Arabidopsis thaliana: one gene and its partners. The protein of the gene in region 3 interacts with the protein of the main gene of each other region in a pairwise test. Each region holds a gene or a part of one and is shown on either strand. Other genes may lie near its edges.

Region 1 (4,345 bases), on a different chromosome or scaffold from region 3:
CTGGTCCTGGTTAGACATCGGCCAGGTCGAGCGAACAAGGAAGAACGAAACAACAAGACCACTGACTCTTCTTTTTCTTTTTTTCTTACCGCTGTGAGATTTTTCTGGAAAATCTGGAAAATACAAATTTGAGAATAGGAAACAACAATACGTAAGAGTTTTAATAAGCAAAAAAAAAAATCTTATGTGTGAGAAGACAGATACACCCCTTACTTGTTGTTGCATTTTCTTAAACCGCGTGAGAATTATAGGGGTATAATTGACTCTTTAGCGGCTGGGCCGACAAATAGATCGGCTTAATTTTTGTTGTTTTCTTACAAATTCATATATAACCTTTTTACCTTCAGATTTTAACTGGTGATACCGTGCCGATGCATTTTTCTTGTTAAAATCTACTTTTCTGAACCGCCAAAAATATATATAAGTGAACGAATTCAAATTTGCAAAATAACACAGAAGAGCATCAAACAAGCACACTCGTATCATTTACTTTAGATTAATCAATTTAATGCTAGAAGATAAACGATTTTGAATTCATTCACTTAACTTCACAAATTTTGTTATCAAACAATAAAATTGTATACATTTCAGGTGTTTTTTTTTTTGTCAAATTATTTAGTTCACTTATTCCTTAATATATTTACTGTTTCTCATCACCTTGAGGCTGGCCACAAACTGGTTCTATTCTATATGTCAAATTTGTACATCGGCCCATGCTTGATAAAGCCCATTACACTGCATCAACATAATTACATGGGCTTGTTTGTTGTTACCCATCTTGTTGAAACCAAAGATTAATTCCCATACCAGCAAGGCAGCAATTTTAAAACCGTCTAAGAAACTCTCGATCAATTCATCTTTCTCTCGGCTCAACGTCGTTTTGACACATACATCTCCACATCCACAAAAAAATAATAAGGAACGTATGCGAGTGACCTAAGATCATCTCAGCCTCATCTAAACTTAATTGAGTTTTTTATTATCAATTTCACGAAACTGCAAATGTAATCGAACCAAACACATTATGAAACATATGTTGTGTATTGTACTATTCATATTCATTTATCACATTACAATCATCAACCAAACCAAAAACACAAACATAACAACAAGGGACAAGAAGAACAAACATTGATCCATACCTAAAGTTTCATAATTCGAACATCAAAAACATATTTTTTAATTATCATAAGTACGACACTCATCAGTCTCAGGATTATCATTGCAATACTCTTCCAAAGGATCGGAGCCACCAGCTTTCTTCTTGTCCCTAGCATGACTCGCCGCCGCACTCAGCTCCTCCACCTCGTCCCAAGCCGCTACACACTCCCCGCTCACCGGATCATCAGCGCATGTCTCCTTAGCTTCTTGTATACTCTTCTCCACCTTCTCCGATATCTCTCCTTCCGATGTAGCCTTAACCACAACCATCCGCTTCATCGAACCGAATTTCCACGGGTAATTCAACCGGACCGGACCTAATACACGAGCCACAGGTCGAACGACCACTCGTGGAGTCGCGACGTTGAGGCCAGCTGCAGCTATGGTTGTCATCGTCGGAGGATTTTGATGGAGGAGAAAAGTTTTTTGATGTGAAGAGATGAAGAAGATAAAATATACTCGTTCACGTTATTAAACTCTGTGAACACAATCCTCTTATCTTCTAAGAACCAAGCATATTTTGCCACGTGTACTTAGATTTTTTCACAAAAAGTAGTATTCTACCAATTTGAGAAACATAAGTTTTTCCCCGGAATATTTATTTTATCAGCCGTTGAACATTTTTTCTTGAAAATTATAGAAGCTTTTTTTTTAATTTTTGACTGAAATAATAAAAATTTGTTATCATTTTCTCTTCTGTAATTTTCATAGACATAAACTTCTCATGAAAAGTAGCATAATAAATTAATAATTACTATATTTTTGAGTATTTCATTTTGTTGAGAAAAAGGGGGAGGACGACTGACTTATAATGGGCCATATTCCAGGAAATAAGCGCTAGTTGGGCCATAGATAAGGCCCACATAAGCAGTGACCACTACCGATATTTTTCCTGATATTTTTTGTTTTCCTGGTTAAAAATACATACAGATACAGTCGTCGTTTTGATTAGTGAACCGTCGAATAGAAAAAGAGAGAATCATTCAGAGCACTTTAAAAAGGTTAAAAAAGTCAAGTATTAAAAAAAGATGATGCGCTTTCATAAAGCTTGTCATCGTTTCTCTCTTTCACCTCTCTGCCATTTATCTCCGCCGTCTCCGTCACCGGCTTCTTCTCTCCTTCTACTTCCCAAGCTTTCCGGATTCTCGACTCTGAGTACACGACGTTGCGTAAGAGTTCGCCGATTCTCCGAAAACCCGTTGACCACTGTCATGGCTTCACGTTCTGCTTCTAGGCTTCGTTCTCTCGCATCTGCCTGTTCTGGAGGTGCTGAAGACGGTGGTGGAACCTCTAATGGCTCCCTATCAGCCTCTGCTACTGCAACTGAAGATGATGGTAACTTGGATTTGAATATTTTTGTGTATAGAGTTACTTGTCACTGGAATTGAAATCTGAGAAATCGTTTTTGATTGTTTGTTTGTGTGTTGAACTATGTAGAATTGGCTATAGGCACTGGATATCGTCTGCCTCCACCTGAGATCAGAGATATTGTAGATGCTCCACCAGTCCCGGCTTTATCATTTTCACCACATAGGGATAAGATATTGTTTCTCAAGCGGAGAGCATTGCCTCCGCTCGCAGATTTAGCTAGACCAGAGGAGAAGCTTGCTGGTGTTCGAATTGATGGATACTGCAATACCAGAAGCAGAATGTCATTCTATACTGGTTTAGGAATCCATCAGTTATTGCCTGATGGTACATTGAGTCCTGAGAAGGAGATCACTGGCATTCCAGATGGTGGTAAGATTAACTTTGTTACATGGTCCAATGACGGTAAGCATCTGGCTTTCAGCATCCGGGTCGATGAGAACGGAAATAGTAGTAAGCCAGTGGTATGGGTAGCTGATGTTGAGACTGGAGTAGCTAGACCATTGTTTAACTCGCAAGATATTTTTCTGAATGCGATTTTTGAGAGTTTTGTTTGGATTGATAATTCCACTTTGTTGGTGAGCACAATCCCTTCATCTCGTGGAGAACCACCAAAGAAACCTTTGGTGCCATCTGGTCCCAAAACTCTGTCAAACGAGACGAAGACTGTTGTCCAAGTTAGAACATTCCAAGATTTGCTTAAGGATGAGTATGATGCTGATTTATTTGACTACTACGCTTCATCACAACTAGTATTGGCTTCTTTGGATGGTACTGTGAAGGAAGTAGGGGTTCCTGCAGTGTATACATCGTTAGACCCTTCGACAGACCATAAGTACTTGTTGGTGTCATCACTTCACAGGCCATATTCCTTCATTGTACCTTGTGGTAGATTTCCAAAGAAGGTGGAAGTCTGGACAACTGATGGTAGATTTGTAAGACAGCTATGTGACTTGCCCTTGGCTGAAGATATCCCCATTGCCTCCAATAGTGTGCGGAAAGGAATGCGTTCAATAAACTGGCGAGCAGACAAGCCTTCAACCCTCTACTGGTATATATTTGAGATTCAAAGTGAATCACATGTAGTACACGTGCCAAAATGGGATTTGGAAGTAATTAATTTACAACTCTTCTGAGATATGTAGGGCAGAAACACAAGATGGAGGTGATGCCAAAATGGAAGTTTCACCGCGTGATATAGTTTATATGCAGTCTGCTGAACCATTGGCAGGAGAAGAACCAGAAGTGTTACACAAGCTCGATCTTCGTTATGGGTAACAACTAAAAACACAGCAGATATTGTAGATTACTTATGCCATCTTATCAACAAACTGACTAACTTCATCAAAGCCTTCTATGTCCTAACATTGATCCGATTTCAATTCTGCAGAGGGATTTCTTGGTGTGATGATACATTAGCTCTGGTTTATGAATCATGGTATAAAACACGACGAACAAGGACGTGGGTTATCTCTCCTGGATCTAACGATGTCAGTCCACGCATCTTGTTTGATAGATCATCGGAAGATGTGTACTCAGACCCTGGCTCAACCATGCTGAGAAGGACCGATGCTGGAACGTATGTAATAGCAAAGATAAAGAAGGAAAATGATGAAGGCACTTATGTATTACTGAACGGAAGTGGGGCTACACCACAAGGGAATGTGCCCTTCCTTGACTTGTTTGACATGTAAGCCCAACCTGACAATGATTTCTCTTTCTTTTGCTTCTCTTTTTGTTTTTATTGCCATTAAGCGATAACAAACTGAATGTTCTGTACAAAATTTATCTAGAAATACAGGCAACAAAGAACGAA
Region 2 (6,031 bases), on a different chromosome or scaffold from region 3:
ATGATTCTTTTAACGTTAAAATCCGAAAAGCCACGTCAGAGGCTCACAGTTCAAAACAAGAAGCTTTTGCAGAGACTCTTAGGCGTCAGAAAGCCGAAAAAAACGCACTTGATGCAATCAGAAGGGTGAGTTTCCTTACAAAAATAATTTAGTTGGCACTGTTAAAACTTTTTTGGAAATGATTGCTAGATGTTCTAGCTGGAGATATATACTATACTGGAACCGCTAGTGTATCACTTGGAGAGATCCCTAGGCTTAATAGTGGTGCTTCTAGTTACACCAATAACAGCTAAAATATTATAGTATACTGATATTATAGGTAATTATTATAGGCTAAACAATCAGAAAGTGCCTATTCTGAGGAATTGAAGCGAAGGAAAGATACGGAGATAGCAGTAGCGAAAGAGAAAGAGAGATTTATAACAATAAAAAACGAGCAAGAGGTGATCATGGAAGAACTTCAAAGTGCAATGGCTCAGAAAGCGATGCTTGAGAGCCAGATAGCAAAATCTGATGGTACAATGGAAAAGCTAAACCAGAAGCTTGATATAGCTGTGAAGTTGTTGCAAAAGTTGAGGGATGAACGAGAGGAGTTGCAGACAGAACGTGACAGAGCACTCAGAGAAGCTGAGGAGTTAAGGAGTCACGCAGAAACCTCAACCCTACAGTTGCCTCAGTACTTCACGGATTTCTCATTCTCCGAGATTGAGGAAGCAACTAATCACTTTGATTCGACCCTGAAGATTGGGGAAGGTGGATATGGAAGCATCTACGTTGGTTTACTGCGTCATACTCAGGTGGCTATAAAAATGTTGAATCCTAACAGTTCGCAAGGCCCTGTAGAATATCAACAGGAGGTATTTTCTTGACATATTATTAGTGAAATTTCTTGTTTAGTTTCATCATCATTGTTTACTGGTTTATTGTGCACAAACTGCTGCCTCTACGAAAAAGGGGACTTTGAAACACAGTTCTACTGTAGTTTTGATTTTATAGTGTTCGCTGTGGAGGAGCTTTGACTTATTCTTGCGGCATTGCAGGTTGATGTCCTAAGTAAAATGAGGCATCCAAATATCATTACGCTAATTGGAGCATGTCCAGAGGGGTGGAGTCTTGTCTATGAGTATCTTCCGGGTGGAAGCCTTGAAGACAGGCTTACTTGCAAAGACAACTCTCCACCCTTGTCGTGGCAAAATCGTGTGCGCATTGCCACTGAGATATGTGCAGCACTTGTCTTTCTTCATTCTAATAAAGCTCATAGCTTAGTACATGGTGATTTGAAGCCGGCAAATATCCTACTCGATTCCAATCTCGTTAGCAAGTTAAGTGACTTTGGGACCTGCTCACTACTTCATCCTAACGGAAGCAAAAGTGTGAGAACTGACGTTACAGGCACAGTTGCCTATTTGGATCCAGAAGCTTCCAGTAGTGGAGAGCTAACTCCTAAGTCAGATGTTTACTCGTTTGGGATTATCTTATTGCGCTTGTTGACCGGGAGACCTGCCTTACGGATATCAAATGAAGTGAAATATGCCCTCGATAATGGAACATTGAACGACCTCTTGGACCCTTTAGCAGGGGACTGGCCCTTTGTTCAGGCTGAGCAGCTTGCTCGCTTAGCATTGAGATGCTGCGAGACTGTCAGCGAGAATCGTCCAGATCTTGGAACTGAAGTGTGGAGGGTACTTGAACCTATGAGGGCTTCTAGTGGAGGATCTTCATCTTTCCATCTTGGCCGTAACGAGCACCGGATAGCCCCTCCATACTTCATTTGCCCCATTTTCCAGGTAACTAATCTGTATATTTGAGTATGGATTTCCAGTATTATTATCAATCTGAGAAGACTTCGATCACAAAGTCATTAAAATTTGCTTATCTGAGGTCTCAAACCGTTATGTTGCAGTCTAATGGTACTCAACCCGTTCTTCCTCTGCTTTGTTTTCAAATATTTCAGGAAGTCATGCAGGATCCACACGTGGCTGCAGACGGTTTCACATACGAAGCAGAGGCTATAAGAGCGTGGCTGGACAGTGAGCATGATACTTCACCAATGACCAATGTCAAGCTTTCTCACACCAGCCTAATAGCTAACCATGCTCTTCGTTCTGCGATTCAAGAGTGGCTTCAACATCATTTGTGAAAATAAAATCCTTCAAACCCTCAATCCCTGTTCTCTTATGAAAAAACGTTTTTGCCTTTTCTGCGGGAGGCAACAGAGTAAGTGAGTAAGATTAGTGTTTTCAGTCTTCCTTATACATATACATACGATCTAATCATGGATAGCAGCATATTTGTTTACTTTTTCAAGCATAGTGTAAGTCCTCCATATCAGTCATATATGAAAAGAAGAAGCTGGTGAGATTTGTATGTGGATATGTATATATATATATATATATATATATATATATATATGTTCTGTATGAAAAAAAAAGTTATATGCTTATTCGGTTTGTGTGAGAAGAACTGCCACTATTTTGTTCTTCCATTATGTTCGGCTCTCTTAAGAACAAAGATTAGCCTCTAATTATTGGACATGATCTCACTGATGATGCCTTTGCTTAGCTAAAATTAGGATGAGTCTTACATTTTTAGTCAAGACTATCGTGTAAGACTTGTTTTCCACCTGGAAGAAGTTACCTTGGATTGCCTATAGTGATTTTTAATGAACTCTTAAAATTCTTGTGATTAATCTTACTTAATTAGCAGTGGGGTCAGGTCGTTTTGGCGGCTAGTGGCATAACTGTATAAAAATTCAGGATTGCACTGAGGTAAGCCAACCTAACGCAGCCTTTAAAGACACCAACCTGGAAAATGCTGAGAGTATTCTTCAGGATTTTCTCAAAAGTCTTGTGAAATTCGTGTATTTGTGTCAATATGTCGACATTTCTCTTCATACACAGATACTGTCGCTTTTGATTCCTGGTTTGGCTTGTTGAAAGTCAAAAAGCCTTCATTATTTTAATACATGATTCAGCTTCTGCGTTAAGGCTAGGTTTCGTCATTGGTACCGTGGTTGACTTCGTGTGCATGTTATAACATAAGAAAATGTTCTTGCTTGTTGATTGCTCCCTCTGTTAGATAAGTCATCTCTTTTCTCGTATTGCAAATTTTAAGTTTGTTCTTGTTTATTCTCTTGAGTGAATTAGAGGTATGTTTTGAGTGTTCTCATATGGAGTGTGTTGGAGATAGGAGCTTCGATCCAAGCAAAGGGGAAAAGTGTTGGCTTCATGAGGCTTCGATGCAGCCTTAAACGCTAAAATCCAGGCCAAGCAAGATGGAGATAGAGAGAGATGATGGGCAAATCAGGTTCGCAGCAGCTGCTGATGGATGAGAAGATATATGTTGCAGTGGGGAGTGACTTGGGGAACAAGTCCACTCTTGTTTGGGCGATACAGAACACTGGAGGCAAGGAGTTCTGTATCGTCCACGTTCACCAGCCACTCTACAGAAAAGAAAAGGAAAAGACACAAAAGATCCTGGACAAATACCTACAAAAATGCAGGCAAATGCAGGTATGTTTTTGTTACTTCTATTGCGAATAAGTGATTTGATGATACAAGAGATAAAGAGAGCCGATTGTGATATTCTAGGTCTGTGCTGAGATGATACACATTAAAATGGAGTCGGTAGAGAAAGGGATCATCCAATTGATCTCAGAGCGCAATGTCAAGAAGCTCGTCATGGGAGCTGCGTCAGACACACGCTATTCAATGTACAAAGCACACCGGCATAACTAAATAGTTTTGGATTTTCATCTTCTCATAGTTCTTGTTATTTCACCGATGGACTCATCATTAATCTTAATTTGTAGGAGGATGGCAGATCTGTTGTCCACGAAAGCCATTTACATTCGTCAAGAAGCGCCTGCTACTTGTTGTATATGGTTTACTTGCAAAGGATACCTGGTATATAAAAGGTCTACCCCTAGTCCCTGTAATCTCTGTACAACTGTAAATACTACTTCAGAAGTTTTTTTTAAAATGATATTTGTGTTTTGTCACACTCTTGTGAGTTTTAACAGGAACTGAGATTGTGAGAACAATCACATGTCACAAGCTCTAATATATCTGGTGATGGTATAATGCAGGGAATCTATCATGGGCAACACCTCTCTAGAGTATGCATCTACAAGTTCTGGTCAAGATTCAGTCCGTTCACGAGGATCTGTTATACCTTCGCGCCAATTCACGATATCTAGAGGAAATGGAAATGTGTATCAGTTAGCTGTCTTTGAAGCTGAGAAATCGAAAAAAGAAGCAAGCTTGGAGGCTTTCAAGCATCAAGAAGTTGTAAAAGAGAAAAATGAAGCAATCAAAAGGGTAACATCTTCTTGGAATCTCACATAAGCTATTGCCATTGCCCATTGGGAATGTTGTCCTTTTTTCCTGATGATAACGAAGTTTTCTGACCAAATGTAGGGTAAAGAATGGGAAAGTGCCTATTTGGAGGAGTTGAAACAAAGGAAAGAAACAGAGATGGAGCTGAAGAAAGTGAGAGAAAAACTCGAAAAGATGAGGTATATATCTGAGAACCGAATAACCGAGTCTTATATGTTGGTACAAAAGCTGCAAGACAAGTATAACTTGGCAACGAAAGTGTTGAGAAAAGCCAAGGAAGAACGAGATTTATTGATTAAAGGACGCGACATAGCAATTATAGAAGTAGAGGAGCTAAGAAAAGAGGTCTCTCGATCTGATGAGCACCGTGAAGCTCCTCAGTACTTCATCTGTCCCATTTCACTGGTAAATAAAAAAGTCAATATGGAGAGAAACAGAAGATTGTATCGAATCAGTTCACAAATTAAAACCTTTGTTTTCAATGTTTCAGGAAGTGATGAAGGATCCACAACTAGCAGCAGATGGATTTACATATGAAGCAGAAGCCATAAGTACATGGCTTCAGGGAGGACATGAGACTTCCCCAATGACAAACACGAAGCTTCATCATACAAAGTTAGTTCCAAATCTTGCTCTTCGATCTGCAATCCAGGAATGGCTTCACGCTTCATCCTCTTTTAGAAAGTGAACAGAAATAAAATCACACTAAATATATATTCTTAAGCATTTGCTTCAACGAACACGTCTACTTGTACTTTATATTAAACCCATGTAATGAAAAACCTTTTCTTCATTTTTCTCTCCATTTTCTATTTATTTTCTTAGTAATACAATCTGACCATATGTATTACGTTGAAAACAGCCAATTAACGAAATAAAATATGAAAAGATACTAAATCCCATTTGTTAATTGACTTTATCTTCAGTGTGTGAGACGTAACTGCTTGTGAACTTCTTCTTTTCTCATCTTGTGTCAGTGTGTGGCTTGTGAACATGTCTTCATTAGTTTCTTTCGAGTTTACATAACACAAAGTGAAACAAGAAACTGGATTCTATATTGGATCCACCAACTAAAATACAAGAAGAGAATAACTAATGAAGTTTGCATAGTAACTAGAGAGGCATTGGAGGGATCCAGTAAGGGAAGAGTGGTGTTGTGGAGAAGGCTGAGGGAGACTTGGGACGAAAGGAACGTGGTTTTCTAGTGGCGATATCGTAAACACCAAAGCCATCGCCTGCAAAATAGATGGAGTTAGGGTTTAAGCCAGGGAATGAGCTTGCCTTGACACAGAAGGGCTCACTTCTGCCGAGGAATATGCAGAGATCTCCAATGTCCTCAGTGTAACACATGTTCATATCTTCCTCCTCTCTAAAGACCATGAAATGCTTTGTTCCACGACACAAGAATGTCATCCTCTCGCCCGGTTTGTAGTTCTGAGCGTACCACTTGACTAGGAAACGCTGTCCTGAGGGAGACTCAACGAGGTGTACAGTCGGCGGGGAACATGAGTCCAAGAGCTCCCACTCGGACTGTGTCACCTCAGGAAGGTTGCAAAACCGCAACTCAAATCCTCGAAGCAAGAATCCCAGAAACCCAACAAATGGCCTCCAACACTAGGAGTGTAGAACTTTTTATCTCTCTTTGAATACATAACCTTTGACTGATCAAAAAAGTGGGATTCGGTTTTAAAGCC
Region 3 (5,807 bases):
AAGGAGAGAGAAGAGATGGCCGATGGAAAAAATGTAGTTAAAGGGTAAATAAGTAAAATAATTTATCTAAATTACCTTCTCCATTTAAAGTGCCTAATTAGGAACTAACTTTAAAAAAAGTCTCTAATTACGTAATATTCTCAATAATAATTGAAATCATAATTTAGATATAAAAATAAAATTAGCAATACTTACCCATATAAGATTGGGTTCTTGAAAATCATTGCTCAAGAGATCTGTTCAAACAAAAAAAATCATAGATTGGAATTTCAATCGAAACATTTGGAAAAACTAAAGTCTAAATCTGAATCAATAATAACCTTACCTCTTTGTAAAATTCCAGCTTAGCTGCTAGAAACAGGAATATCACTCTCATCCTCAAGCTAATTTTTCCAGCCTCATTGTACTTCATTTGGCGGGAGAGGAACCAACGTCTTCACTCCGCTACTTCACGTCCTACTACTTCTATCATTAAGGAAATCAAGATGATAGTTAGGACAAGGCTTGATCCTCTTTCTAGGGCTCAGAGATCCACCCCTCCTGCCTTGACCCTCCTCGCCACTTGGTTCTCCTTATCCCAATGACATTTTCAGTTGTTGTTTCTTTTGTAGGCTTGGTTTCATTGGGTTCACTTTGTGTTTGGACCTTCCTCTTGCTGCGGGGGCTGCGTCCTCTTGTTTCGGGCCTCGGCCTTGTTTGTTTCTGTTTCAGGTTTGCGTACCCCTTCTCGGCATTTATCATATATGTTATGTTTTTCTAGTAAAAATTTAAAAAAAAAAAAAAAAAAAATTTCAGATTAGCGATTAACAGATGATAAACGGTGTCATAGTGTATTGATTATCAAAACAAATTGCAAGTGATTCATACTACGAACAACCGTTTGATTTTATTTTGGTGTGTGTTTGTTTAGAGAAGAAGAAAAGACAAGGTTTCTTCTAGAATTATCTATTCAGGTAAATAAACATTTATCTTTTCAATAAAATACAAAAATCAATCAATATGTGAAATGATCTGAAGAAAGTTTTGTGGGTTTCGGCCCAAAACAAAATTGTCATGTTATTCATTAATGGACTCCTAAATTATTCGTTGAAGCAAACAATTTTTGGCATTTTATTAGATATTCGATAAATAATCATAAATAATAGACTTATTTGTCTAAAAAACCACAAAAACAAATAAAAATTGTATGACTTTTTTGTGTTGTCGTCGTCGTCGTTATCAACCCTCATCATCATCATCACCAACGTAACCACCGACGCCATCATCATCGCCATTAACAACTGGATCTGTCTCCGTTTCCATCAAATCTCTTTCTCTCTCTGCAGATCAATTGATTTTTTACAACGTGATTGAAGCGGGGCTAGCTCCGGTGACGATAGTTGATTGGTTTTGTCCCTTAAGATGAGCTCCTTCAATGGTAACGAACGGCGTCGGCGGCCGTGAATCATGAGAGAGATGGCTCAGTTTCTTTTTCTTTTCTCTGATCTTCCTCTTTATCATCAGATTCTATCTCAGAAACTTATCAATGTGCGTTTGATTTTTTTTGCTTGGGTTCCCTTTACAATAATCATTAGGGTTTAGTTTTTGAATGGAATTCTCTTCCAATAAACAAAATATCATTAATGGTGAATAGTGAGGACGCAAATGATTATTGAAAAGCTTTGATTTCGAATACTCGATTGCAGATCTGCCACAAATCTGAAACTCTGTTTTTACTATTCACCTTCTTCTTCATTTGCAAGATGATTTCATTTCGTTCGTTTAATTTTTTGCTTTGGTTTCATAAATACTATCATCTTTAGGGTTTAATTATTGTGAATCAATGAATGTTTTTAGTTAGAATAGATTTTAAGAATATGAGATTTGGAAAAAAAATTGGATTTAAAAGAAGAGGAGCGTGCAAGAAGATGATGAGAGAAGATGATGAGATTATTCAGGGGTAAAATGATCAAATCGCCCTATCAAAACTACTCTTTTTCAAAGATCATACACAAAAGCCTCAAAATCAAAATTTTTATCAAAAAACATCCTCTTTTGACAATAACCCCTAAATAATATTATAAGTATTATACACTAATATTCTGCAACTGTCCAGATTATTTATCATTTACCAAAGAAATATATTAAAAATTATATTTATCTTTAAATTCAATATTTATAATGGATCAAACATCAAACAAATTTGTATACCGAAATTTTTTTAAAACACAAAATATAAGTTTCTCCTTAATTTTCTTTTATGAAATTTTCTTCTAAAAATAGAATAACATATAAAATAATACATAAGAGAGAAATCATGCTTTATTTTACAGAGAAAAATAGAGATTTACATTGGAGATAATCTTATATGAAAACTGTAAAAAACTATAAAATCAGGGCGAAAAATGTGTATGGTAAAAAAACTTAACATGTGGTTAAAGGTTTTAAAAAGATTACAGAATAGTTCTCTATTGGGCCTTCGAAAAAAGCCCAATACCCAACAACAAAAACGCGCGTGTATCACACCTTCAATACACTAGTAAGAGTCACACAGTGATCGTCACCGGTAAATTAGTTGGCAAACTCCGCCTGCTCTTCGATAATTCCGAGGAGCTTCTTCACTCTTCTTATATCTCATTTCTCTCTATCTCTCTCTCTCTCTCGCATTGCGATTAACGAAATTCGAAAAATGTCTCGTCTTCTCCAAACACCCTTCTTACCTTCAGTTTCCCTCCCCACAAAAACACGATCTTCCGTTACGGGTTTCCGGGTAAAGCCCAGAATCATCCCAATTCAAGCAAAGATCCGAGAAATCTTCATGCCTGCACTAAGTTCCACGATGACCGAAGGCAAAATCGTCTCTTGGGTTAAATCAGAAGGCGATAAACTCAACAAAGGAGAGAGTGTTGTTGTTGTTGAATCTGATAAAGCTGATATGGATGTTGAGACTTTCTATGATGGTTATCTAGCTGCAATCATGGTTGAAGAAGGTGGTGTTGCTCCTGTTGGTTCTGCTATTGCTTTGTTAGCTGAAACTGAAGATGAGATTGCTGATGCTAAAGCTAAAGCTTCTGGTGGTGGTGGTGGTGGTGATTCTAAGGCTCCTCCGGCTTCTCCTCCCACGGCTGCAGTTGAAGCACCTGTGAGTGTTGAGAAGAAGGTTGCAGCTGCTCCGGTGTCCATTAAGGCGGTGGCGGCGTCTGCGGTGCATCCGGCGTCTGAAGGAGGGAAGAGGATTGTGGCGTCTCCTTATGCTAAGAAGTTAGCTAAGGAGTTGAAGGTTGAATTGGCTGGTTTAGTTGGAAGTGGACCGATGGGAAGGATTGTGGCTAAAGATGTTGAGGCGGTTGCTGCTGGAGGAGGAGTTCAAGCTGCTGTTGCTGTTAAGGAGGTAGTGGCAGCTCCTGGTGTGGAGTTGGGATCGGTGGTTCCTTTTACGACAATGCAGGGGGCTGTGAGTAGGAATATGGTGGAGAGTCTTGGTGTTCCTACTTTTAGAGTCGGTTACACGATTAGTACGGATGCTCTTGATGCTCTCTACAAGAAGGTGAGTGTGTTTTGAAATCCGTTTGGTTGGTATGATAGAGTAGACTGGAGATTCCATTGATTGTGATAATAGTTGCTTGATGAAGTTTTGAACTTTGGGATGAGATTATGAGAGATAGCTAGTTGAATTATAAATGATAGTATCTTATGATGTGCATCAGAAGCATACACTAGTTACAAACTGTAAGTGTAAATGTTGATTTGGTTCACATTTTGTGTTTGGTTTGTTTAGATTAAGTCGAAAGGTGTGACAATGACGGCACTTTTAGCAAAGGCAACTGCACTTGCACTGGCGAAACATCCAGTTGTAAACTCGTCTTGTAGAGATGGTAACAGTTTTGTGTATAATAGTAGCATCAACGTTGCTGTTGCTGTTGCTATTGATGGTGGTTTGATCACTCCGGTGCTTCAGAACGCTGATAAGGTTCTTTTCTTTTGTATGCTTTATAAGAGATTTTGAGTTTACTCTGTATTCAAAACCGGTATCAGTGGGTTGTTCTATCTTTTGTAAACAGGTTGACATTTATTCGTTATCTAGAAAATGGAAAGAATTGGTTGATAAGGCTCGAGCCAAGCAGCTGCAGCCTCAGGAGTACAACACTGGTAATCCTACTACTAGAATATTGAAGTGATTTGAGTTTGAGTAATCCTTCAACTAGATTGTTTGAGTCTTGTTGTTTTTATTTCCCTTCCGGGTAATTGCAGGTACCTTCACTCTCTCTAACCTAGGAATGTTTGGCGTTGATCGGTTTGATGCTATTCTACCCCCTGGAACAGTTAGTGCTTTTACCTTTATGCGTGTATTTTAGTTTGTATCTTGGTTATGTCTTTTAGCCTAATAATTATGCTAAGGATAACAGCTCATTGGTTTTCTTGTCTTTGATCAATGAAGGGAGCGATTATGGCTGTCGGAGCATCTCAACCTTCAGTGGTTGCAACTAAAGACGGCCGCATTGGCATGAAAAACCAGATGCAGGTAAATGTTATTATCAACCATCGTTAGAACTTGTTCCTCTTCTCCTTTTTGTCTTCATGAAAACGTCTCGAGTTTTCCTGGGAACTTGTTAATGATGACTGGTCACTTGCAAACCCACAGGTGAATGTGACGGCAGATCATCGTGTCATCTATGGTGCTGATCTTGCACAGTTCTTGCAAACATTGGCAAGCATTATTGAGGACCCAAAGGACCTTACATTCTAGGCCAAATTACTGCTTTTCGCATCCCAGTCTTCTCTGCTTTTGATTCCATGGGAGCTTGTATTTCTGCGGTAATCAGTTTCTTTGATAGAACAAACCTTTTAAGATTAAACATAATCATTTCTTTGTTTGAGATATATCTTCTGCAACATTTTCTGCATGGAAAGGCCGTCCCACATGATTTTGCTACTGACTTCATATATATCCACTTCATGCGATGAATCTTATATGAACTGATAACTTTAGCATGATTAATAACATGAATCTTATATGGACTGATAATTTTCAAACTACAACTGTGAATGCATTACATCTTTCCTGTTTCTCTCAGCATCTCAAAAATGGAGATGCAGATGATAGTCTGTCAGAGGAAAGAAACCTCTCTAATCTCTATGCTGCTTATACATACAGATACAGTAACAAGCAAAAATTTACATATCATGCATCTGACACTTTTAATTAGAGTCTTGTGAGCATCCGTAGAACAGTCTTCATCTTTGGTCTTGCCCCAGGAGAGATGTTTATGCAGGCAAGAGCAACACCGAGGGCACGGAGCATCTGCTTTGTTGCTACAGTTGATGTTTTGCTCACTCTGAGATCAAGAATGTTGTTCTGCTGCTCTTGATGGCTCGAATGGCTCTGCACCCACTTAGCCAAATCTCTTCCTTCACTTACAGCTGGCCTTCCAGTTAACAACTCTAAAAGAATCACCCCAAAGCTGTAGACGTTCCCAGCCATTGTCACCCTCATCGTGTAAGCATACTCTGATGAAGTGATCAAAAGTGAAAGATTAAGAGAGCTGTTGTTTCTCAGACAAGCCCATATAAGTTTTGTATAATGTGTTCACCTGGTGGAATGTAGCCGATGGTGCCTGCAACTGCTGAGAGGCTGCTGTTGCTTTTGGAAGGATCGATTACCTTGAACAGTTCAATGTCCCCTACTAGAGGCTCAGTGAGCGACTTGAGTAGTATTTTTTTACTAGACAGATCTGGTAGAAGGATTGGATCACGACCGCTGGATTCGGATCCATGCAAGTAAGAGATTCCCTGAGCTATGCCAACCGCAATACTATACCTGCTTGTCC

What was found.
Region 1: the proteins of EMB3003 (region 3) and CP12-1 interact in a two-hybrid assay, tested with the Arabidopsis thaliana proteins (one large-scale study listed by BioGRID).
Region 2: the proteins of EMB3003 (region 3) and AT2G45920 interact in a two-hybrid assay, tested with the Arabidopsis thaliana proteins (one large-scale study listed by BioGRID).

What each region holds. Positions count from the first base shown.
Region 1 is NC_003071.7:19,444,098-19,448,442, reverse strand, and holds CP12-1 (CP12 domain-containing protein 1), read right to left. Parts: upstream 1,714-4,345; 5' UTR 1,555-1,713; coding exon 1,180-1,554; 3' UTR 801-1,179; downstream 1-800. Other genes in the region: AT2G47390 (Prolyl oligopeptidase family protein), read left to right, coding at 2,190-2,496, 2,599-3,580, 3,675-3,803, 3,920-4,219, 4,323-4,345. UniProt on the Arabidopsis thaliana protein: Acts as a linker essential in the assembly of a core complex of PRK/GAPDH. Coordinates the reversible inactivation of chloroplast enzymes GAPDH and PRK during darkness in photosynthetic tissues.
Region 2 is NC_003071.7:18,896,073-18,902,103, forward strand, and holds AT2G45920 (U-box domain-containing protein), read left to right. Parts: upstream 1-2,556; 5' UTR 2,557-3,290; coding exon 3,291-3,512; intron 3,513-3,590; coding exon 3,591-3,712; intron 3,713-3,811; coding exon 3,812-3,916; intron 3,917-4,087; coding exon 4,088-4,319; intron 4,320-4,418; coding exon 4,419-4,742; coding exon of another isoform or gene 4,743-4,827; coding exon 4,828-5,025; 3' UTR 5,026-5,231; downstream 5,232-6,031. Other genes in the region: AT2G45910 (U-box domain-containing protein kinase family protein), read left to right, coding at 1-125, 333-857, 1,041-1,787, 1,955-2,140; AT2G45930 (uncharacterized protein), read right to left, coding at 5,873-6,031. UniProt on the Arabidopsis thaliana protein: Functions as an E3 ubiquitin ligase.
Region 3 is NC_003070.9:12,586,946-12,592,752, reverse strand, and holds EMB3003 (2-oxoacid dehydrogenases acyltransferase family protein), read left to right. Parts: upstream 1-2,529; 5' UTR 2,530-2,668; coding exon 2,669-3,526; intron 3,527-3,757; coding exon 3,758-3,949; intron 3,950-4,040; coding exon 4,041-4,128; intron 4,129-4,230; coding exon 4,231-4,301; intron 4,302-4,417; coding exon 4,418-4,501; intron 4,502-4,621; coding exon 4,622-4,726; 3' UTR 4,727-5,027; downstream 5,028-5,807. Other genes in the region: AT1G34440 (uncharacterized protein), read left to right, coding at 16-44, 344-565, 612-711, 911-953, 1,326-1,405; AT1G34420 (leucine-rich repeat transmembrane protein kinase family protein), read right to left, coding at 5,183-5,487, 5,571-5,807. UniProt on the Arabidopsis thaliana protein: The pyruvate dehydrogenase complex catalyzes the overall conversion of pyruvate to acetyl-CoA and CO(2).